Alligator mississippiensis: one gene and its partners. Each later gene encodes a partner of the first gene's protein in a complex. Links are inferred from orthologs where the notes say so. Each region holds a gene or a part of one and is shown in the gene's direction. Other genes may lie near its edges. The genes, in order: S100A4, MYH9 and ANXA2.

Region 1 (7,164 bases):
ATGAGGGGTTCTCTTGGGCTCTTTGGGGTGCCAGGGCAGCCTGTACGGGGCTTGGTCCTTGCAAACTCCCTGTGGGACCCAGGTGTCCGGGTGCGGCCTGGGAGCAGGGCATGGCTGGCAGGTTCCAGCCTTGGGCAGGGCACATCTGGAGGGAGGGAGACCCTGCCCCAGCCCGGCCACTCCCTGCTTGTCGGTGGACCTCCCTCTGCAGCCCAGAGCCAAGGGATGAGTCAGGCTCTCGTGCCCCGCTCTGCTCTGGGCACCGTGCCACGGGCTGATGCCAGAGAAGCTGGGAAGCAGGAAGTGGCTTTGGGCCGGGTGCTGGATGGTGGGGAGGGGTGTGTGTCTTGCATGTCCCCGGTGAGTGTGCGAGTGCCTTGTCTGTACATGGTGAGTGTGCCAGTGTGCTACCTGTGCATGGTGAGCCTGTGAGCGCGCTTGATGTGCTCAGGGGATGTGCAAGGGCACTGCTTATGAACAAATGTGTGAGTGCATTGCTTACCGTGTGGTCTGGGCCCCCGCTCTTGCCTGCCCATATGGGGCTGGGGGCTCTGAGCTCACAGGGGCCTCGATTTTCAAGGCTGAGCATCCTCCCCTTTCATGTCTCCGAGACCCTGGGGCCTCTCCGGCTGCTCCTGATGCAGGACCACTGACCCCTGCCCCTCTGCTACTTTCCAGGATGCCCCAGCACCCCTCTCCTCCCCCTGCTTGCATTGCTCCAACCCTTCTCAGCCCCCCTTCTTGCCCAGCTGGGGCTGCCTCTACAGGGTCCGGGTCTGATTGCCTGTGCTCTGATTGCCTGTGGGCCAGGCCTGATGCTCGCAGCACCTGCCACAGCATCAAGCTGGATGGATAAATCTGCCCTGCAGACATGTCCCTGTGGTGTCCCACGCCCAGGCGCACCTGCCTGCTGCTGTGGGAATGGTTTCACCTGGGACAGGGGATGGGGATAGGGATAGGACAGCTCTGGATGGGGCTGTGATGGGAGAACCCCTGAGACCTGCCCCTGGCTGCTCGCTGCATGCGCTGATGGTGCTGCCATTTGTGCACTGACCCTGGTGGCTGGAAGCCCCTGGGGATGGGGAACTGCCCCCAGCCCCCCAACAGCATTGCACTGCTGCTCTCAGCTCCCTCCTGGCTTGCAAAGGGCTGCAGGGGGGTGGAAAGGTGTCCTGCCTCTCCTGCAGCCTGGTCCTTGGCATTTGCAGCTGGGCATCCTCCATCCATCGCCCCCATCCCAGAAGGGCTCAGGGCTAGGGGTGAACCTCAGGGTCCAGGCCTGGATCTCATTGCAAACTGCTGGATTCCCCTGGTGCAGGGGGGCTTGGTCAGGGCAGGGGGTCCCTTGGGCCTGGGGATGGGGGGGCACTGGCAACTTAAGCCTGCTTGTGGCAGAGCGGTGGGCAAATCCCACGGCTTCCCTGGGAAATGGAGATGCAAACCTGCTCCCATCCCATCTCTGGGGTTGCTGCAGGGCAGGAGCAATCCCCCCAGCCCACTTGGGGCCTGGGGCACCCTTGCACCAGCTCTGATCATTCTCCTGACCCAGCAACCTGGGTTCATCCCTCAGCCCTGGGAGCCATCTGGGCTCTGCCCCCTAATCAAACAGCCGATCCGGTCCCTGCCAGTGCAAACAGGACAGGAGCAAACAATTGTGCCTCCCCCCAGGTTCAGAGCTGCGCGGCCCTGCCTGCCAAACTGGTCCTGGGTGCTCAGATCCTGGGGAAGGGTGGGTAGGGCCTGCAGTGAGGATGGAGAGCTGCCAATGTGGACTCGGGTTCAGGAGCGGGTGAATGTGGTGCATATTGCTACCGGGTGCCCTGGTTCCCAGGCCTAGCCGAGAGCTGTCCGTGCTGTCCTGCCATGACCGCAGTGGCTCTGAGCCCCTGGTGCTGGGCTCATGGGCTGTTCTCCCACCCCATGCTCTGCACCAGTACCCCCCACCTCCATGCCCCCAGGTACCCTGACACGGGCAGGTGGCCATGGCCCAGCTCTGGGCAGTTCGAGAAGGGGCCAGCAATGAGGACCCCTGGAGCTACTAGGGGCTTGGAGAGACTCCCTTTGGGCAGCCCCAGGGGCTCAGACCCCTGCCCCATTGTGCTGCGACCTGCCACTGCTGCCCCCCCACTCTGGCAGGATGCGGGAAGGCGCATCCTCGGCGCTGTCAGCTGGATGAGACCAGGCTTGTTCCTGGGGCCTTGTGAGCTGGGGAGCAGGGTGGGCTGAGCCATGGTCCCCAGGCAGAATGGGGCTGCACTTGCACCGACATTCAGGTCTCCACAGGCCTGGCTGTGCAGTGAGAAGCAGCTGCTTGCTCCCCCTCCCCCCTGCCGCTCGCTTCCCTTCTGCATGGCGGCATCCTCCCCACTCAACTTTTATTTAATTGCATGTCAGGGTTTGCAGCTGGCTGGGGGGTGTTGGGACCTGCCAGGCTGGAGCCAGCTGTGCAGAGCCCCCTCCAGCTGTGCAGGGTGTGAGCTGGGAGGACCCCTGCATGGGTGAGCTGGGGGATGGGGACCCTCGAGCTGGCATGCAGCGGGATCCCCACTGCCCACCGGCACTGCTGCCAGGACCTGGGGTCTCCAGCTGGGAGGTGGTGACACTGACCCCAGCCCCACGGCATGGTGCTGGGCACTGCCTTTGCAGCCATGCACTCCCAGACCCCTCCCAGGGAGTCAGGGGTCTAGTCCCTTTTGCTTCTGAGCAACCCCCGAGCCCTTGCAGCTCAGATCCCTGTACCCACAAGGCCTTGGCCCAGCTCCACGCCCTCCTCCCACTCTCCTCCAGCCGGAAGCAGCAGGACTTTCCCCTACCCGGAAACCTCCCTCCTCAGCTCCATGTGAGTCACAGCCTGCATGGGGCTGAGTGGGGCTGTTCCAGGAGGCAGCAGGGCTTGCCACCTCCTCTGCACAGGTTGAACCCATTAAGACCAAGCCAGGCCCAGGTGTGACTGGGGGAGGGCATCTGGGCTGCCCTGCCCTGTGGGTCCTGGGTCCTTTCTCAGGGAGGTGGCAGCTGACAGCGCTCTGCACTCTCCTTCCTGGAGCAGGGGGGTCGGGGTGCAGAGCCTGGCACTCCCCAAGATGCTCCAGCATCGGGCACCCATGTCTGGGCTTGCAGCCCAGGAGAGCTGAGGGCCTCCCATCTCATGTAGGGTCCATGCCTCTTCTCTCCCTGGCAGCAGAGGCTTCGCATGGCCCCTGTGGCAGAGGGGCTGAGCCGTCCAGGGTCCTGGCTCTGGGCTAGCTTAGCAGCCAGTTCCATGCCAACCAAGCCCTGTGCCCCCAGGGTAATCAGGCCTGGAGCCAACTCTTTCCCTGCTAGCCTTGCAGAGCTGGTACAGCTCTGGGCCCATTCCCAGCCCTGTCTCCTGGGAGATCCTGCCTGCCCCTGGCTCTGGAGTTTGCCTTGACCCAGGCTCCAAGGATGCTGGGGTGCTGGGAGATGCCTCCAGGTTGCAGCAGCTTTGCTTTCATGCCTGCAGTTTGCCCTGTGGCCTCTGATCCACCCGGGGCATCTCCAAGCATTGCAACTTCGCCTCATCCTGGCTTGCACCTATGCTCTGAGCTGGCCACATTGCAGGAAGGAGGATGCAGATTAAGGTCATGCTGGGCCAGTGTGGACACCATCAGGGTTTGACCCCAGAGACCTGCCTATGGGGCTAATGGCAAAGACAAGCCTGGGTGGGCAAGACTTGGTGGTCCCCGTGTGGCTTGCTGTGGGGACTTCCCTGCTGCAGGGATGTGACCTTCCCAGGCTTTGGCAGGGCATCAAGCCTGTATCCCCTGCTCCAACCCCACTGGCCTGGTCCACCCAGCTCAGGGGGATGCTCTGGCACGTGACCGGGACCGTGGGGCCTATGACACTTAGTGGAAGAATACAGCCCAGGCCAGACCAGCATCTGGTTACACAACTCAGCGGCACCGCCCTCCCACCATTATGAAACGCAAGGCAGCTGCCTCCAATTTCAGTTAAAAAAAATGAAAAACACTCCGAAACAGCAGCTCGGGCACTGTGCGTCATGGAGCTGCGGATGCTTCCCATCGCTTCATGCTCGCTGGGATTAACCCTCGGAGCAAATGCGTGTCCATGATCAGGCCGTGCCGGGTAGGGCAGGCATTTCCTATGCAGCTGTGATTGAGCTGTCCTAGGGTTTCCTCCCCTGCGTGACCAGGGTAGGTGACGCGTGAATAGATGCCTTGGCTTGATGAAGCCCTTGTCACTGTTTCATGCTTCCTGGGCCCTTTCTCCCTGAAGCATCTCGGGGCAAAGTGTGGGGGGAGGGGGGGGGGCAGGCAGGAGTATGGCTGTGGACTGGAGCCACCTGGACACATGGCAGGTTTATCCAATTTGGGGTGCTTTAGACAGAGAGGGGTAAGGGAGATCTCAGATGATGGCCATTGACTCACCTGAGCAGCCATCCCACGCTGCCTTGTCCCATGTCCATGCATGTGTTCATCCACCCCATGCTCATCCCCCCCGCCCCCCCCTCCTCTCTCCCACCAGGGATTGCAAAGACTCATTAAGCTCTGACTCCCCCAGTTCGTCCCTCATTTTGTTTCCTGCTCTTGTCCAGGCTGTTCCACTCCCTCCCCTGCAGATACACCCCATGGCCCGGTGCCAGTCGGTGCCCCTTGCACCCACCGGGGCAGTGGCTGCATCCGCCCATTCTTCTCTGCCCAAAATTGGGCCTGAGGGGAGGGCAGGACATGGGGCCCAGGGCTCCCCAGCCCCTTGTAGCCAATGCCTGCCAGGACGTTTGGGTGCTCCTCCGCTCATTGGCCTTGCTTTAATTTCCAGAGCCGGAGGGGGTGTCCCCAGTCATGTACGCTGACTATAAATACTGAGGGTTTTTGCTCAGCCGCTTGTCCGGCCAGCATCTGTCAGCCTATTTCCTGCCTCGCTGCCTTGGTAAGTGGTTTGTTTTATTGAGATGCTTGGGGCTTCAGCTGCTCCAGCTGCTGGTGGTTTGTGCATGGGGGGCTGGGGACACAGCCAGCCCTGCGGTTTGGGAGAAGGGGGCGCTGCCTTTGCTGCAGCAGATGTACATGATCCTGAGCTGGGGTGGTGAAGGCGGCCACGGGTTCCCCACTTAGCCTGGGTCTCAGAGCTGCCCTCTGCATCCAGGCAGTTTTGGGGTTAGTGGAGGTCTGGGGCTCTGCTCTGACACAGCCAGGGCTGCAAAGGGCCTCCCCGGACCCACGCAAAGGGTGATGCCTCCTCTGGAGTCTGGGCTTATGCAGCAGCCTGGCTGGGGTCTGCAGTACTTGTGCCCCCCGTTGTATTCCCATTATGCTCCCAGCCCCCAGGCTGTCATTGCTTGCCCCCCACAGCCATTCTTCTGCTAAGCCCCCAGCCCTCAGGCTGTCATCGCTCGGTCCCTCCAGCTGTGCTCCTGCTAAGCCTCCAGCCCCTGGGCTGTCATTGCAGTTGGCGCTGGCTACCAACGCCCATCTGCGCTGCCAACATGACCTCAGGGGAGGCTTGGGAGCAGGCAGGAAACAGTGACACATCCTCCTGCCTTGGTGCAATTAGCAGGTGGGGGCCCTCCCTCTGGGGATGCTGGGCAGGGCCAGGCTATAGGCACTTAGCACTTGTCCCATGGGCCTGGGTGAAGGGTCTGTGACCGGAGGGCTTGGTGGGGATGCTGGGAGAGCTGGGCACACCACAAAAGACAGGACCCGGGTACCTTGCCTGTGCTCCTCCTATGCAAAGGCACTCAAATATATTCAAATCTGCTTCCGTCCCTGCACCCTTAACCCCTGGGCCAGCTGGTCCCAGCTTGGTAGGGAGCTCTGTGCTTCGGGCCGTGCTCTAAGCAGCCCCCTCCCCACGTCTCTAGCTCCCAGATCTGCCATGGCGCATCCCTTGGAGCAGGCACTGCAAGTGATTGTCTCCACCTTCCACAAGTACTCGGGGAAGGAAGGCGACAAGTTGAAGCTCAACAAGGCAGAGCTCAAGGACCTGATGCTGAAGGAGCTGCCCAGCTTCATCAGTGTGAGTGGGGGGACTGGGACCCCCAGGCACTGGGGGCGGTGCTGGGACCTGGGCACAGGAGACCTGTCTGCCCCTGTGAAGGGGTCCAGTGGCCTCTTGCAGAGGGGGCTCGGTTCCTGCTCTGGGATTTATTCTCAGATAAATCTATTCTGCCCCTTTGAAGAGGGGAGGGGGGCAGGAGGTGCCCACGTCCTGTCCCAAACAGTTCTGCCTGGGGCGGGTACACGCGGATGATGGGGTGGAGGGAGGTGGGTGATGCCCTGAGCTGCAGGAGGGGTGCAGAGCATTTCTGGGCTAGGCTGAACCCTGCTCCCACCTCCTTCCCCCTGGCAGAAAAAGACGGATGATGCCAGCTTCCAGAAGATGCTGAGCAACCTGGATAGCAACCGCGACAACGAGGTGGACTTCCAGGAGTATGCCACCTTCCTGGCCTGCGCTGCCATGATGTGCAACGACATCTTTGAGGGCTGCCCCGACAAGATGCCACGGAGGAAGTGATTGCCCTGGGCCTGGGCTGTCCTGCGTGGGTTCCTCCTGGGACCCCCGCTGCATTGCTCACCACTGCCTCGAGAGCCCGTTGAGAGCCCGTGCAATAAAGTCACTTCCAGAGTCCCGTGTGTGTCTTCGACTGTGTAACTGGTTCCCGGACTGTGTTGCACATGGAGTCGTAGGGGTGGGTAAAGTTCCCTGTGGGGTCTTCAAGGGTTTCTGCCAGCTTTGCCCAAAAGAGCAGGGGTCTGATCCAGGCGCAGGGAAAAGTGCAGCAAACCGGGGTCGGGGGCTTTGCTCCTTCCAACTCCAGGATAGCAGCCCTCAACTGCTGGCAGCAAGGGGAGCTCCTCCTAGGCTCTACCCCGCTCCAGGGGGATCCATCTTGGCAGGTGACCCCATAAGTCCTTTCCTACCTGGGTGAGTTTATTGCAGAGCCAGAGCCTGCTGCAGCCCCTTCCCCACAGCTCAGTGACCATGGGGTCCCAAGACCAGGGTGAGGGGCTGGGCCACAGCACTCCAGGGCAGCTGGCTGTGTGGCCCTGGGGTCACCCACAGAGAGGCAGCAGTGCCTGTGGTCCAACTCCACCGGATGGAGCCATGGCTGCTGCATGACGGGGCTTGGACAGTCCCAGCAGCCCCCCACAGCAAACCCTTGGCTCTTGCCGGGCACCTGTC
Region 2 (7,495 bases), on another chromosome or scaffold:
TGTTGTGACAGTCAGCAGATCTTTTGCACATGTGGTTTCTGAACAGTCACTGTGTGGTTAGTTTGGCAATATACCTTCCCCTGTGAGGTAAACATCTTGCAACCTTCCTCTTTTCATTCTATAATTTCTTTGCTAGAAATACAAATGTATTTTGCAAAATGTACAACAAAAATCCCATTTGCAAAGTACTAGGAAAGAAGTTTTATGATTTCAAATAATTGTAGTTGTTGGAGACAGGCTTGGAAATTAAATCCTCCTGCTTCTTCCCAGGGTTCTTAAAACATGGGCAACAGAAATTGAGTTAATTCAGCATATGGAGGCTTGGGGAGGAAGATATGTTTAACTTATCTGAGCCAGCAAATTACATGCCTGGCCCTGCACATTAAATCAATCAAGATATCTTGCCTACTACAATATATGTACAGAGCATGCTTGATTCATTATATATACTAGTGTTTTTTCAGCTAGGATGCCACAGCAACTTGGGGTGCCTAAAGATCTTTTCAAGGATATTGCAGGGTGCCATGCAATGTTAGCGATATTTGGTTTATAAATATGATTCACACAATAAATCCAGGGATTTCACATAGAAATTCATAGTTGTGGTTTTTCTGAGTTCTTTGCAACAGAAAACTGCTGTATTATTTTTCTGTAGTCAAAAAAAAAGAAGTGAAAACTAAGAGCTGGCATCTTCCAAGGGGTGCCTCAAGTCTAAAAAGATTGAAAATCTCTGATATATGAGTACTGACTGATCCAGAGCACAGTCATAGACTTCCACAGATCCAGTGGAACTGCTTGGTAACTGCATAGAACACTTTTCCAGAACACTGCATCTCTAGAGCCAGACCTGTCAGCAAGTAAATGTAAATCAAAATTAATCTTGCAAAGTGTAACTTTTTTTTCTCTGAGTTGGCACTTCATTTTGGATGAAGGTGGAAGAGTATTTCTATTTTCTCTACAAAGCAATACTCCAATAGAATAAGAAGTAAGCCTATAATGTCTCCTGACAGTTCATAGTATGGAAGATTAGATTATGTTCACTATATTAGGCAGGAAATCTTGTATATATGATATGACTGCATTTCAAAATGTACAGCATGCACTTTGCGAGACCTGGATATGGACATGGGTGGGAGGAGATTGCTTTTTGGCAATCATCCCGGTGCAGGTGTCTTAGAAGCCAAGTAATTGGACAGGAAATGTTATAAAATTCTGGATGCTCATCTGAAGGGAAGTTTTCCTGGAGAATTCCACAATCATGGATGGTGACTATCTGGAGAAAAGGGTGCTTTTGGGTGCCAGCTAATGGAAGAGGTAATGACTTGGAATGCAAATAAAGACAAGTGCAAATTAATTGTTTCAAATGGGGCATACATACTGTGTCCAGCATGTACAAGGTGACTGGAATTGGTTGGAGGGATTGAATAGAAATGTTATGATCTTTTGAAACAGGGCCTCAGGGAAACAATTTGATCATACCCACTTTCTTAGGTATGCCTCCTCCATCCTGGGAATTATTTTCTGGTCCAAACCAAGAAAAGCCTCTGTACAGTAGTACAACAATCAGAAATCTTACCGGCTTTCATCATAGGGTGCTATCAATCAGCCAAGCAAAGAAAACAACCATTTCAAATTTAAATAGCTTCTTTTAGCTCACACATAGAAACATTTAGTTTTAGAGACCAGTTAAGAAGAGAGGAGACATTTTTCCAGGAGGGAAGAGAGCACAATTACAGCAATGATGGTTTCTAGTTGAGTTCTGATACTTCCCCACTGAAGTCAATGAAGAGATTTTGTTTCATGTAATGGAAAGAGAATCAAGTTCTCAGATTCCTAAATAAACAATTACCTAAGAAAAATAATGACATAACCTGATTCCTAGGAAGTGCAGTTCAGCACATGAAAATATAAGATTGGTAGAAGACTTTGAGGGATGCTGTTAGTAGCATTATCCAGTCCCTAAAGCACTACCTTTTGTCATCCTTTAATTTCTTACTGTTTGATAATAGTAACAACACACCTCTGCTGACTACATGGCTACCATTGTGAATAACTTTGTCTGCCTTCTCCAGTTCTCTAAAATCTGCTACTTTCCAACTCTGCAAAAACTTTGTTTTAATCTTGATTAACTACTTCTCTCTCTCTAATCTCTATTTGCTCAGTCAAGATGGAGGCAGTCTATTTGAGAAGAAGCTGTCCTGCATCTGTAACCTTTCTCCTTCTTGAAACATCACTGCCATTGGTTATGCAGATGTGCCTGGTTCTTTCTTGTCATGATTCCACTCCAACCTCCTTGGCAATTCTTTATCTCTGGAAGTAACCATTTTTCCACATCAAGATATGTCCTGTATGGAGCACTTCCCCTCTTCTCTCCCTTCCTCCCCCCCAAAATTTTATTTCTCAGCACTCTTAGAATTACTATTTACATTCTTTTCATTCATCTCTATCTTTTACAATACCAGTAATATACCCCTGATACTAAGCGGTGCATATCTGTCACTGCCTTTCAGGACTTCTCTCGCACCACCCTTCATGTCTTGACCGTGTAAACTTGCAGCTTGGTTTACAAATTCCTCCAAAGCAATCTTTCTGGGATGGAAGTTGGGCAAGAGATGCTTGCTCAAATGTATCTTCTTCATCTCTCTTAATTCCTTTTTCAGTTGAAGACTTTCTTCTTTGTCTTTTCTGTTGGTACCTTTGACATTGCCTCCAGCTCTGGACTCTTTTCGTTGTCTGTTCCTACAAATCTGCCGACTTAACATTTGAGTTACTTACTAAGTGAAAGGGACCTCTTTATTTTTGCATCTGTTATGTCACGTCACACGTGCCAGACACTTACACATTATACTAACCCGAAAAATTAAATCTTAAGTACCTAGGCTTCTGTAGTACCCTCTTCAGGAATGCTTCACCATCCTTTCTTGGTTCTCATCTTAGTTACCATATCACGTTTCCTCTCCTCTCTCCCATATCCCAGCCCTCCAAGCACAGGCAAGTCAAGATGGTTGTTGCTTGTGTTTTGTGCATGGACGCAGGAGATGCTGACTGCTTCGTTTCACTTTCATCCATCTACATGCCTGGTGTCTTGTGTTTGCTGCCTTTGCCGTTTTCAAACATTGTTGCTTCGGAAAAGAAAGTTGCAAAGCCAAGAAAACATGCCCTTTCCTGCTTGTTCATTGTGCAGAAAGATGGCTCTTGTGAGACATATCAGGTGCTGCTTTCCCTCCCTTTTTTTGGATGCATGATTTGGCAAGCTCCACACAGGACTGGGAATGGACCCAGTGCTGCAAAATGCACGGGAGGCTGCAAATGTGGACAAATTGGAGAGAGGCCAATGGAGGGCAACAAAAATGGTGAGTGGCTTGGGGGACATGAGTTATGAGGAAAGACTGAGGGAACTGGATTTATTTAAGTCTAGAGAAGAGAAGACAGAGAGGACTTAATAACAGCCTTCAACTACCTGAAGCGGGGTTCAATGTTTTCAGTGGTGGCAGGTGACAGACCAAGGAGCAATGGTCTCAAGTTGCAGCAAAGGAAATTTAGGTTAGATATTGGGAAGAATTTTATCATTAGGAAGGAAGTAAAACCCCCATTAACCAGAGAGGTTGTAGATTCTCTCCATCCTTGGAGGTTTTCAAGACCCAGCTAGACAAAGCCTTGGCTGGGATGATCTAGTTGGGGCTGGTCCTGCTTGGAGCAGGGGGTTGGACTAGATGCCCCCAGAGGTCCCTGCTAACCCTCATTTTCTATGACTATGAAACCTCCCAGCTGAGATGGACAGAGCTGGTGAATTAGATGCTGCCTAACCAAGGCTTGTGGACAGAGGTGATATCTTTTATTAGACCAACAAGATTTTTGCAAAAAAAATTCTTTAATTGCAAGCTTTCGGGCACAAACACCCTTCATCAGGCATGGGAGGAAAGAGTGTAAAAGTTCTCCTGGGTAGAAATGAAAGTTCGTATTTCATAGGACTCGGGGTACTTGCAAGGCGCTGGGCGTGGGGCTGCCCAAGGCGAAGCGCCAGGGCAGGAGCCTGCACCCCGTCCTGGCCCCTGGGGCTGGGGGAGGAGCCCCCGCGCAGCGCAGGGAACTGTGGCAGACTAGGGCCCGCGCGGGGCATTGTGGGGCAGGGCGCACTTGCTGCCTCTTCCCCCCCGCCCGGAACTGCCCCTGCTAGGTTCTCCGCTCCCCATTGGCTGCTCTGCCTGTTAATCTGCGAGGGGAAAGGGGCGGGGCCAGGCCAAACCGGGGTTGGGCGGGTTACAAAAAGCGAGTGCCTCGCCCTGCCTGGCCTGATTGGCTGCGGAAGGGGACAGCGGGCGCTCTCATTGGCTGTCGCGGGAGCAATGGGCGGGGCGTGTTCCTCGGGCCGCGGCGGCTCCACCCGGCTTGAAACCTCGCAGTGCCGGTGTGTGCGAGGCAGGCAGGCGGACGCCGAGAACGAGTCCCTTCCTGGCCAGAAGCAGCCGCCGCCGCCGCGGCTTTCCCCTGCCGATCGCCGGACTCAGGTGACCCCCGGGCGGCGCGGCGCGGCGCGGGCGGGCCCCGGAAACACGCGAATCCTTTTATTGATTTTTATGGTTGGCGCCAGCAGTGCCGGGCTGCGGTTGAGGCGGGCGGGAGCCCATTGATTTCCCCCAGGGCCATGCTGGTGCTGCCTGGTGCCCTCTGCCCTCCTCTGTGTGCAGGGCCCAGAGCAGGCTTCCTTGGGGGTGCATCCCTAGGCGCTGTGATCCCTCCTTGTGATCTCCTTTTTTTTTCCACTTGAAGTGCATCCAGGGGCTGCTCCTCCTTGTGTCCTCCATAGCCAAGCAGGCTGCAGCTGGACTGGGCTCCCAGGACCAGGGGAGGAGGGAGAGGGCAGCTGCCCATGTGATGGAGCCCCCTTGCTTTGAAGGCGTCCAGCTATTGGTGCAAAGGAGCTGCTGGTCCCTTCCCCCTGCCCCATCCTTGCCTGTTGCCCCTCTTCTTGGAAGTAATTGGGGGGGGGGTTAAGGGAGAGAGGGGGTGAAAAAAAGGCCCGTTTGGCAGCTGTCAGGGTTCCAGCCTGAGTCACAGGCCAACAATTCTGCAGCAGACATTGCTATGGGCTTGGCTTCCGCCCTCAGATCTTGACTTCCTCATTCGGTTTGTTCTGTACAGTCGAGCCAGGAAAGAGGTAGAGCGAGCCGGGAGGAGGGAAGGGAGTGACGGGGCAAGATGAAGCTTGCAGTACAAAATCTGGCAGATCCCTGGGCTTTCATCCACCTCTGCTGCTCCAGCAGATGCAAGAGGAGTCTAGCTTCTCACAGCCTTGTTACCAGCCTGTCCTCCGGGAGGAGAAAAAAGTTGGGGAACTTCCCAGCCCCAGTGGGTGGTGGATTTGTACCCAGCATGTCGTTAATGGGGGGTTCTCCTCATCTGCCTGGACACGTCTTGAATGAGAGTGTAAGAGGGATGTTGTAGCCGTGATGGTCCAGTATTTAGGCAAGAGGTGAAGGTTTCATTGGGTGATTTTTATTTTATTTTATTTTATTTTATTTTTTAATTGGACCAACTTATGTAGCTGAGATAGAGATATTCAAGCTTTTGAATGCAAGACATTTTTCATCAGGTCATTTGTTAGATGGGAGTTAGATGAGTCACCTGTTAGCCAAGAGTTAGATAAGCTTTTGAATGCAAGACACTTTTCCTTGGGTCACCCGAGGAAGAAAGTCTTGCGTTTGAAAGCTTGTCTATAACTGTATCCCAGCGACATTAGTTAGTCCAGTAAAAGATACCACGCTTAAAGCAGTGCCACATTCTGTATAACGCACTGCAGTTTTGATATGTTGGTCCAGAGGCAGCTGTCCCGGTGGCTGCTGAGCTCTGCTTTTCTTGGTATGTCTTCCCTTGCCGAATGAACTTTGTGCTTTATCTGCACGGCTTTCCTTCTCCTCGAGCTTTTCTTCCCCTTGTCCTAACTTCCTGAGCTGTGCCTCATCAGAGGTAGTGGGGGGCAGAGCCTAGGCTCTTTCCAGAGCAGCCCTGTACCCGAACAGCTTGTTGAAGTCATTGCATGCAGTAACGCATGATTTGTGCTGGAAAGCTGAACCTCTTATCACTGAAAAGGGCCAAGCCCACAGGTCATGATGCCCCTGCCCTTCTGTGGCAAAACATACAGGCTCATTTGCTTAAAGGTGTGGGGCTTAGTGAGCTGTAATTGTTAACTTGAAACATGCCTCGTGAGCACTATTTGTCTCTTTAAATACATTTTCTCCTAAGTATAGGTAGTGACAAAGGGAACAGCAAGGTAAACAGTTGCTGGCTCTATAAAGATGCTTTCTGACTTAGTCACAAGCTACCTGGTGACTAAGTTCACTTATCTGGATCGTGCTAGTGAAAGCTGTAACCCTTGGTGCAGACCTGTATTGACTTACCCTCCCTGTCTGGAGCAGTAGCACTTGAATCTAGTATATGGATAACATGAGATAAATGCTTCTGCCAAGTGGGGTGCTTAAAGGCACCTTTGGGTGGAGGAGAAGGAGCTAATGAGTACAGGTGAATGGGGCTCTTTTAGTATTTAAGAGCTTTGAATTTCAGGATAACTGAGAGCCCTAGTAGGCATAGGGTACTGTCTGTTGTTCTGCCACATGAAACTGTCTATAAATTGTTTTGGAGGTGGCAGTACAATTTGCTTGTCATTCTATCAAGTTCCTCATCTCCTGAAGCTGTCTGTAATTGTATGTCTGTCCCTGATGCCTGCTTGAAGTCATCCATCAAGTAATGCTGTGCATAGTCGAAGGTTGGCACTACACACAGAAAACTTTCTTCTGTCGTAGGATGGACTTGGTTAAAACTTTCAGTACTTCTGTGAAGGCAGGTGTAGATTAGCAAATCTCTACTGAGTAGAGATGCCAAATTAACATCTATGAAATGTCTGTACCCTTCAGACTGGGCATGGCCAGTACAAAGTTCTGTTTTTTGTGTAGCATATTATCTTCCTTGATATCTTGCGAGGAGATGATGATATTGAAGTTTTCTAGAGAAGAGGAGTCATGCTTAAATTTGCCTGGCCACACAACACACACCTATTCATTATAAATAGGATGACTGATGATTTTTTTCTCTTGCTTCAGAGGATCTGACTGCTGCTTATTACAGCAGTGTTGTATAGCTTGTCAGTAGGAGTAATCTTTTGCTCACTTCCTGTCTCGAGTCAATCCTCTAAAAAAGCCTAGATCCTTTCCAGTTTAACACTTTTATTCCTTAGGACAAGAGGGAGGAACAGTCAGAAATTGCACTGATTGCCTATCCTCAAATGAGTGGAAGAGAATGCAGTGTTGTACCTAAACTTAAATTATAAAGCAGCATTATTTAACTAATGAAAAGGCCAAGAAATTATTTGTCCACAGTGTTGTTTTGGGGAGGGCTCCATATTTCAGACAGTAGAGTCATCTATGTGCCATCTTAAGAGTTAGTTTGGCTGGTGTTATTTATTTAAAAAAAAAAAAAAAAAAAGCCAGTGGCTGACTGT
Region 3 (6,944 bases), on another chromosome or scaffold:
TATATGCTGCAAGGGAAACAAAGGTTAAGATGGAAGGAAGGTGGCTGAGAGGTGAAGCTTAAAACTGAAAATGACTTGGTCTTTCAGTAATATAACAAAACACCTGAAAGAAGAAAGAAAGAAGTAGAAATCACATGCCATTTTCAGACAAATTAAACAATAGGGGAGTTGGCAAGGCTGGAGGTTGGGAAGACAGGGTAAATGGGGATAAGAACACACTGTACTGTGCAGAGATCATGGCATTCAGGGCAAACTAAAAGAGAGGCAGAATCAGAAAGTAGCACAAAGGCTCTGGGGAACCCAAGTAGATAAAAGTGTTCTCTGTTTGATTTCTGTGGTTGGCATCTGGGAAGCTGAAGACTGCAAGTAGTGAGAACATTGCAGCCACAATGGTTGCCGTGAAACGAGGCTAAAAATTTAACCTACTGTGCTGCCTTAAATAAAAAAAAATCCAGAGATTAAGGAATGTGAGAACTAAAACAATACAGGAAACCCTCATTATTTGCGGGTTTAGCATTTGCGGTTTCAAATATTTGCAAATGCTGAACCTGCATTTTAAATACACTTTACACATTTACAGGAGCTCCTCGGGAGCTCTGCGCTTGCTGCCACCGGGCTCCCGCCGCTGCACTACCACTGTCACCGCCGGAGCCATGCCCCCCACCCCCAGCCACCAGTGCCTTATTCACAGATTTTGCCATTTGCAGGGATCATGAGAACATATCCTCCGCGAACGGTGAGGGTTGCCTGTATTTCCTTTCCCTGTCTTGTAAACACTGCCTTGCACTTGGAATGATGCATTTCCCATTTTTTCCTAAACAGAAACTTGAGGCAAGTAGGCACAGCAGCTTCCAGGGTTCCTAGTAAGCCAAGCCACTGCCCAGTCTTAGTATTATAATTACTGTTATTACTGTTATTATTGTTTATGATTATGCAGCAGTTCAGAGTGGGATTATGGACCCTTGTGCAAACCATGCACAAGCCCTGTAAACTTTAGGTCAGGATCAGGTCTCTGGAGCTTTAGTTTTGTTTTCAAAGGTGACTTGGGCATTCATTCTACTCTTTGGCTGCTTGAAAAAATCTTGCATATTTCAAGTCTTGAGGAAGTCTTTGATCCCAGGGAAATATTGTAAACTAATAAATGAAGCAAAATAGGATTCATATTTTTTCTGCAGTTTCAGTATTTATTTCTTAATATTTAATAGTGCCCTAATTGTCTTTCTGAGCTAGATTCCCCAAGTCTCTGTTGTTTTGACAATGTCAATAGACTTGCGAAAAGTTGGAATATTCTTTTATTATATATATAATGACCAGATCCTTGGCTGACACAAGCTCCCGTTAAGTCAGCAGATTTGCAGTGACTAGCACTAGTTGGGGTGGGGTGGGGTAGGGGATGTCAAGCAATATTTTTAATGTAATTTTATTTATGTCCCTCTTATTATGTTGTTACTTTTCTATTGCTTAGGTGTTTGATATGCACCTAGGATTAAAAGTATATGTTGCTGTATATTCTGGAGAGGGACTTGGACAGGTTTATCTGAGATGAATCCCTGAGGGAGTTTGTATCCAATAGTAAGCAAGTCATCTGTCTGGCTTCTGCACACCTAATTAATATTAGAGTCTGAAGATGCTGTTTTCCCTAGGGCTGCAAGTGTTTTTTGACTTACAAGTTACCTTACCAAATGTTCAGTAATTTTCTGAAGAAGCATGAAAAATTAATACAAGGTGGAATTACCTACGGAGCAGAAGGGTAAATGCTGAGTGCTGGTAAGACTGGGGCTACCCACAAGTGAAGTTTGATCAATGTAGCTCAGACAATGCCATGGGAATGTTACATCGTCTCTTTGGTTTTGTCTTCTTGAAGATTAAAGTAATATATGTTTGACTCTAATGAAAGAACAGTGTGAAGTTTTATATCTTTTGTAACAAATTGGAATGTAATTTCAAACTCTTCTGCTCCTGTGGTCAAACTTTTTGCATCTCATTTTAGAGTACGCAAAAATTGGCTACTAAACTTTTTCCTCTCCTGATGCATCATTACATCATTCCCTTTTTTCATGTTCCTTGCTAATTCTTTCTTGCCTTCCATGTCTAGTGCCCAGATTCCATATTCAAGGCCCAGTACCATAGAGCATTGAATCTCTGCTGTAATTTTACCCTATCAGCTACCTATTCACTTCCAAGCCTATTCTTCTGTGCACAGGCTCTCCATGTTCTTGCTTATTCCAATCATTTCTGTGCCTTTCTCAGTGCTGCTGCTTATGTTTGCAGCTCTTTGCTCTACTTGTCAAATTACTTCCCTCATTCTGCACCTCTTTAAAAAATACAGTTCTGCAAATCTTTTCCACGCTAACATACACTTAGCATGTGCATTATTTTTGCAGCTTTGCATTAGATTACTGGTTATAATCAAATCTCAGACTTTATGGCTTGCAGGGGTCAGGAAAGATTTTTCTGAGTGTTTTATTGACTAGATATATTCCACTGGCAGAGGATGAGTTTGCCTTCCCCTGCAGCATTAAACTGTGGATACTGGATTGGTGATACTAGATTGGGTGGACTAGTGTCCTTAGGTGGTACCCAGAAACCTTGTCTGGCTCATATGCTTAGAGTGATCCTGATCACTAGTTTAGGCTCAGGTAGAAAGCTTTTCTCTCAGGTCAGATTTGCTTTGGTGTTCACTTGTTTTCTGCTGCAAGGGGCAAACTTCACATGCTGGGATCATCTGGACATTTCCCTTCCTTGCCATTGAAGGGGCTTTGATCTCTTCTGTTCTCTAGGGGTGACGCACAGTTTAGTCTTCTGAGAACTAACAAAATACTGCACCCTCCCATCACAGAAGCAAGGTATCTTATGCTGGTTCCATGCCACTGCAGCTAGACTGCTGCCACTACCCAAGCCTAACTAGTTTAAAGCTAGCTCAGGTATCTCACTTCTTTGACTGCACTGTAGATAGGCTTTGGGTGTAATATAGATGAAACTTAGCTTTGCTCTAATGAGAGTGGGTGGGTAGGGATAGGAAGGAAGGGAGCTGCTGCAGCGGGACAAGCTTCCGGAGCTGAAGTTTGGGTCTGGCTCCTGGGCACACCCCTGTGCCAAAGTCTGTGCTTCCACAGCTAGATTTCCATGAATACCTGAACTACACCTGAGCATGTCTGTGCGAGCAGCAGCCACTTCTTAAGATTACTACATAGACATAACTACTTAGCAGCCCCTTTTGAGAATGACGCTCTTTCTATAAATAATGGACCTAATTATGGTCCTAGGGACATCAGTGACTGGGAGCAGCAGGATTTAGCCTATAGCAGTGGTTCTTAATCTTTTGAAACTATAGGCACCCCTGGACAGACCCAAGGCAACACTCAGAAAATGTCAGCTCTTAGTTTTCACTCTTTTTGCATCCAGGAAAATAACAGAGCAAAGGCCAGTTGCCAAGAACTCCAGAAGACCATGCCTATTTGAAATCTCTGGGTTTATCTCGTGAAGCACTTCTGCAACCTCACAGTGCCTAGCACTCCTTTGAAAGGCCCTCAAGGTGCCCCAGGATGCAGCAGCACCCTGGCGCAGACCCGCTGGCTTCCAGCTGCCCGAGCACCGGACTGGGGCACAGGATTGTGTCCGCAGTCAAGCCGCCACCTTGCCAAGTGCCTCTGGGCCTCAGTTTCCCCACCTGTGCAAGGGGGATAATGGCATTGGCCTCCTTTGCCGGGTGCTCTGAGATGCAGCGTTGAAAAGGGCCCTGTGAGACCCGTCCGTTGCGGGGGAGGGCCTGGGGTGCTGTGTGCCGGGTGCGGTGCGGGGCGAGGCAGGGCAGGGCCGGGCAGGCTGTGGCAGCCGTAGCGGCGGCGGCAGAGGCCCGGGCGTGGCGGCCAGCGTGGAGCCGCGGGGCTGAGTCAGGCGGGGCGGGGCGGGGCGGGGGCGGCGCTGTGGGCGCCGCGGCACAAAGACCGCGCCCCGGCGGCCGCGCGCCCTCACTGCGCCCCGCCGAGCCCCGCTGCAGCCGCCGCCGCCCGCTGCTGCCGCACAGGTAAGCGCGCGGCGCGGCCGCTCCCGGGGCTCCGCGCCTGCAGCCACCCGGGCCGGGAGGGGCGGGCGGGGCTGCAGGGCGCACCCGGGGACGAGAGCCCAGGTGAGGCGGCGGCGGCGGCTGTGGCTGTGACTCCCCGGGGCAGAGCAAACAGCCCCGCCGCCACCACGGTTCGCGTCGCGAGCCGGCGGCCGGGCGTGTCCCGCCCCGCCCCGCCCGGCCCGGCCCGGCCCCGGCTCCAGCGGCGCCCGGGGCCGCCGGCGCTTCTCTCGAGGGCGCTGCTCGCGCGGCTCCGGCCGCGGGCTGCCCGGCTGCCGGCGGGCGGAGCTGGTCCTCCTGGGAAAAAGGCTTGAGGCTGCCGTGGCGTGGGGGTCTGGCTCTGTAACGTGGGGGCTTAATGAAAGGGTGAATATGTCCCAACCTACCAAAAGAAAAGCGCTGTGGAGGACAAGCCCCCCGCCCTGCCCCCGTGCAAGTACGACCGGTCTCTCCCGAAAGCACGAGGAGTTTATCTCCTAGTTAAGATCCACTTTTTGACCCCGGTTTTCCAAGCCACGTGGCTTGTTTTAGGCAATCAGCTGGGCTTTGGATTTGAGTTTGTATCCCCTCTCCTTCCAGCATCCTAGGGTAACAGGAGCCTCTTAAAGACACCCTATGAATGGTGTGGACAGCCGGAGGAAAAGGGCACCAGGCAGGACTGTTGAGGATGGGGCCCTCACCCTCTCCCCTTGGGTGTGGTGCCAGCAGGCCTCCCAGAGAGGTCCTTTTGGATAGCAGACTGCCGGTCCAAGTGTCACAGCTGCTCTTGTGCTGGTTTTGCCCCACTGCAGAAACAACATGCCCTGGGGTATTGTTGGCCTCCCCCCCCCCCCCCCCTTTGCAGAGTTGCTGAGGTCCAGCTTCCTGTTGGGTGTTACCCCTGAGGCAGCGCTTCTCAACTGGGGGTGTGCATCCAGGTTGCAGGGGGTCCGCCCAGCGTAGGGAGGAGCCGCCTTGGGCCCTGGGGCTGAGGCGAGGCCCCAGGAAGGCGCAGGGGCAGGGCTGCCCCGCCCAGCCCCGCACCACAGCCTCTCTTGCCAGCAGTGCTGCAGGCGGGTGGGCGAGGCTCCGCGCTGCTGCGCCCAGGTGAGTGGGGCCCCTGGGCTTCCTGCCGCCAAGCCCTGCCTCTGCACCCTGGGGCCACACAGGCAAGGCTGGGGAGCTGGGTAGTTATTGTGGCACAGGTGGCCCGTGGAGTTCTTATAGCATGCTAGGAGGGAAGAAAAAGGTTGGGACCCCCTGCCCTAAAGACAGGATGAATGCAGCTTGGTCTGCCCTGCCATTAGAGGAAAACAGAGAAATGTTGCTCTGTTCTTAACTGGAAAGGTTCGGAGGTGTTTTGCAGCAGTGAGTTGTCCTCACGCGCAGGACAGATCCGTGCGGGATAGACTTCTAAATTCATAAAGCTATTTGTATGTCACAGGACTCTGATAAGTACATGGAAATAAGAGCAAAAGAAGCAGTGTAATTCCCTAAATTTAATGTTCTGTGCAGCAGAACTATTTCTTCTTTTATAAAAAATGATTACAGTCAGCCTTTTGTTTGGACACTGCCTGCTTATGTTGTTGCTAGGTGGGTGCTGCAGGGTAGCTCTGTGGTAGGACTAAGATTTCCTCCTTGAATCACTAGTGAAGTTCCCCCCCTGTATGTCACTTCTGTTGCTGAGTCTCTTTGTGCAGAACAGCTCCAGTGAGTTTGTTTTTCCAGTTGCTCGCTTACGGAACAGTTTTTTTTTTTTTTTTTCCCCCCACGGGAGGTTTTCCCTGCCAAGTACTGGTGTTAGGAATCTCCTATTATAAATATAAATCAGTAGTCTCACCTTTAGTGTGTTACTCTGGCATGTGCGCCAGAGTGACATTTCTTCCCCCATCTGGGTTGTCTAGTAATGAGAACGAATAATTTACAATATATATGTTGCTGTACTGTGTAGAAATAATGGCTATCAGTGGTCTGCGAGATCTTTTTTTCTTTTAAAGTCAGTCAATTCGGGTTGCAGAGAGCGGCTCTGTTTGACCTGCGTAGCTTTAAAGTAGAGTATGGACACAGATTGGTCTGTCTGTATTTCGGTGATGACAGTAAGGCTTTGTTTCATTTTGAAGGGAGGGTCTCTTTCTTCTCCTTTTTGGTGGTCCTCCCCATTCTTCCCCTGACCTCTGCGCTCCATTGCCACACCCTGTTCTGGTTGGAAGACAGCACAACCGACCGGGTTCCTCACTAAACTTTCCATTTCCTCATCCTGCAGATTCCATTTCTCCTTCCAAAAGCCGGGAAACATCCTCGCTTGTCACCCACAGAAGACATGCTTCTTATCAAGCTAGGACAAAGGATGAGCTCAGGTGCTGGTTGCCAGGTGTAACATTGCTGCTTCTGCAGTCAGCATCTGTCACTTTTATCATGGCACATACAGGAACCAAAGATTTGAGAACCCTGAGGACATTTCTAAATCCACATCACTATTGCAAACCTGCCTAGCTAGGGAGGTAGACTGTTAGGAGGGTGGAGATAAGAGAAACCAGGTATAGTGTGGCAACATCTGGACGCTTACCTTGCTGAGGTCATCTGACCCCAGCAGTCTTTCCTGCCCAGTGCAGCGGGGCTGGACCTCGTGAGGTCCCTTCCAGCCCCTAACATCTATGAATCTGACCTGCAAGCATTTAAACGACTGCTCTTTTCAGCAAAGAGTAACAGATCTCTTCTCTTCTTTTTTGCTATTATTTTATTTTAATAACATTTTAATTCAGGGTACACGATAATTTTAGAAATAAATAAATTTGCTTGAGTGGATGTATGAGGTCTTGGTTTATAGACTCTAAAGTAGAAGCTCCAACTCTTTTCAGTGTAAGGAAGAACATGTGTAAGTGCATGTGCACTAAGTATG

Evidence for each region.
Region 2: the proteins of S100A4 (region 1) and MYH9 are in contact, whole or in part, in an NMR structure (PDB 2LNK), measured with the Homo sapiens proteins. The link is inferred for Alligator mississippiensis from reciprocal best matches to the Homo sapiens genes S100A4 and MYH9. Residues at the interface, in NP_002952.1 of Homo sapiens: Leu38, Ser44, Phe45, Leu46, Gly47, Lys48, Arg49, Thr50, Asp51, Ala54, Phe55, Lys57, Leu58, Asn61, Leu62, Ser64, Gln73, Glu74, Cys76, Val77, Phe78, Ser80, Cys81, Ile82, Met84, Met85, Cys86, Glu88, Phe89, Phe90; in NP_002464.1 of Homo sapiens: Thr1906, Ala1909, Met1910, Glu1913, Val1914, Ser1915, Leu1917, Lys1918, Lys1920, Leu1921, Arg1922, Asp1925, Leu1926, Pro1927, Phe1928, Val1929, Val1930, Pro1931, Arg1932, Met1934, Ala1935.
Region 3: the proteins of S100A4 (region 1) and ANXA2 are in contact, whole or in part, in a crystal structure (PDB 5LPU), measured with the Homo sapiens proteins. The link is inferred for Alligator mississippiensis from reciprocal best matches to the Homo sapiens genes S100A4 and ANXA2. Residues at the interface, in NP_002952.1 of Homo sapiens: Lys35, Leu38, Pro43, Ser44, Phe45, Leu46, Gly47, Lys48, Arg49, Thr50, Asp51, Ala54, Phe55, Lys57, Leu58, Asn61, Leu62, Gln73, Phe78, Cys81, Ile82, Met84, Met85, Glu88, Phe89, Phe93; in NP_001002857.1 of Homo sapiens: Leu13, Glu14, Pro21, Ser22, Ala23, Tyr24, Ser26, Val27, Lys28, Tyr30, Thr31, Asn32, Phe33, Glu36, Arg37, Leu40, Thr44, Gln69, Asp70, Phe73, Arg77, Arg78.

Annotation. Positions count from the first base shown.
Region 1 is NC_081838.1:13,253,431-13,260,594, forward strand, and holds S100A4 (protein S100-A4), read left to right. Parts: upstream 1-4,804; 5' UTR 4,805-4,911; intron 4,912-5,842; 5' UTR 5,843-5,856; coding exon 5,857-5,997; intron 5,998-6,330; coding exon 6,331-6,495; 3' UTR 6,496-6,609; downstream 6,610-7,164. UniProt on the Homo sapiens protein: Calcium-binding protein that plays a role in various cellular processes including motility, angiogenesis, cell differentiation, apoptosis, and autophagy.
Region 2 is NC_081827.1:100,992,240-100,999,734, forward strand, and holds the start of MYH9 (myosin-9), read left to right. Parts: upstream 1-4,397; 5' UTR 4,398-4,508; intron 4,509-7,495. UniProt on the Homo sapiens protein: Cellular myosin that appears to play a role in cytokinesis, cell shape, and specialized functions such as secretion and capping. Required for cortical actin clearance prior to oocyte exocytosis. Promotes cell motility in conjunction with S100A4.
Region 3 is NC_081834.1:33,976,691-33,983,634, forward strand, and holds the start of ANXA2 (annexin A2), read left to right. Parts: upstream 1-3,928; 5' UTR 3,929-4,027; intron 4,028-6,944. UniProt on the Homo sapiens protein: Calcium-regulated membrane-binding protein whose affinity for calcium is greatly enhanced by anionic phospholipids. It binds two calcium ions with high affinity. May be involved in heat-stress response.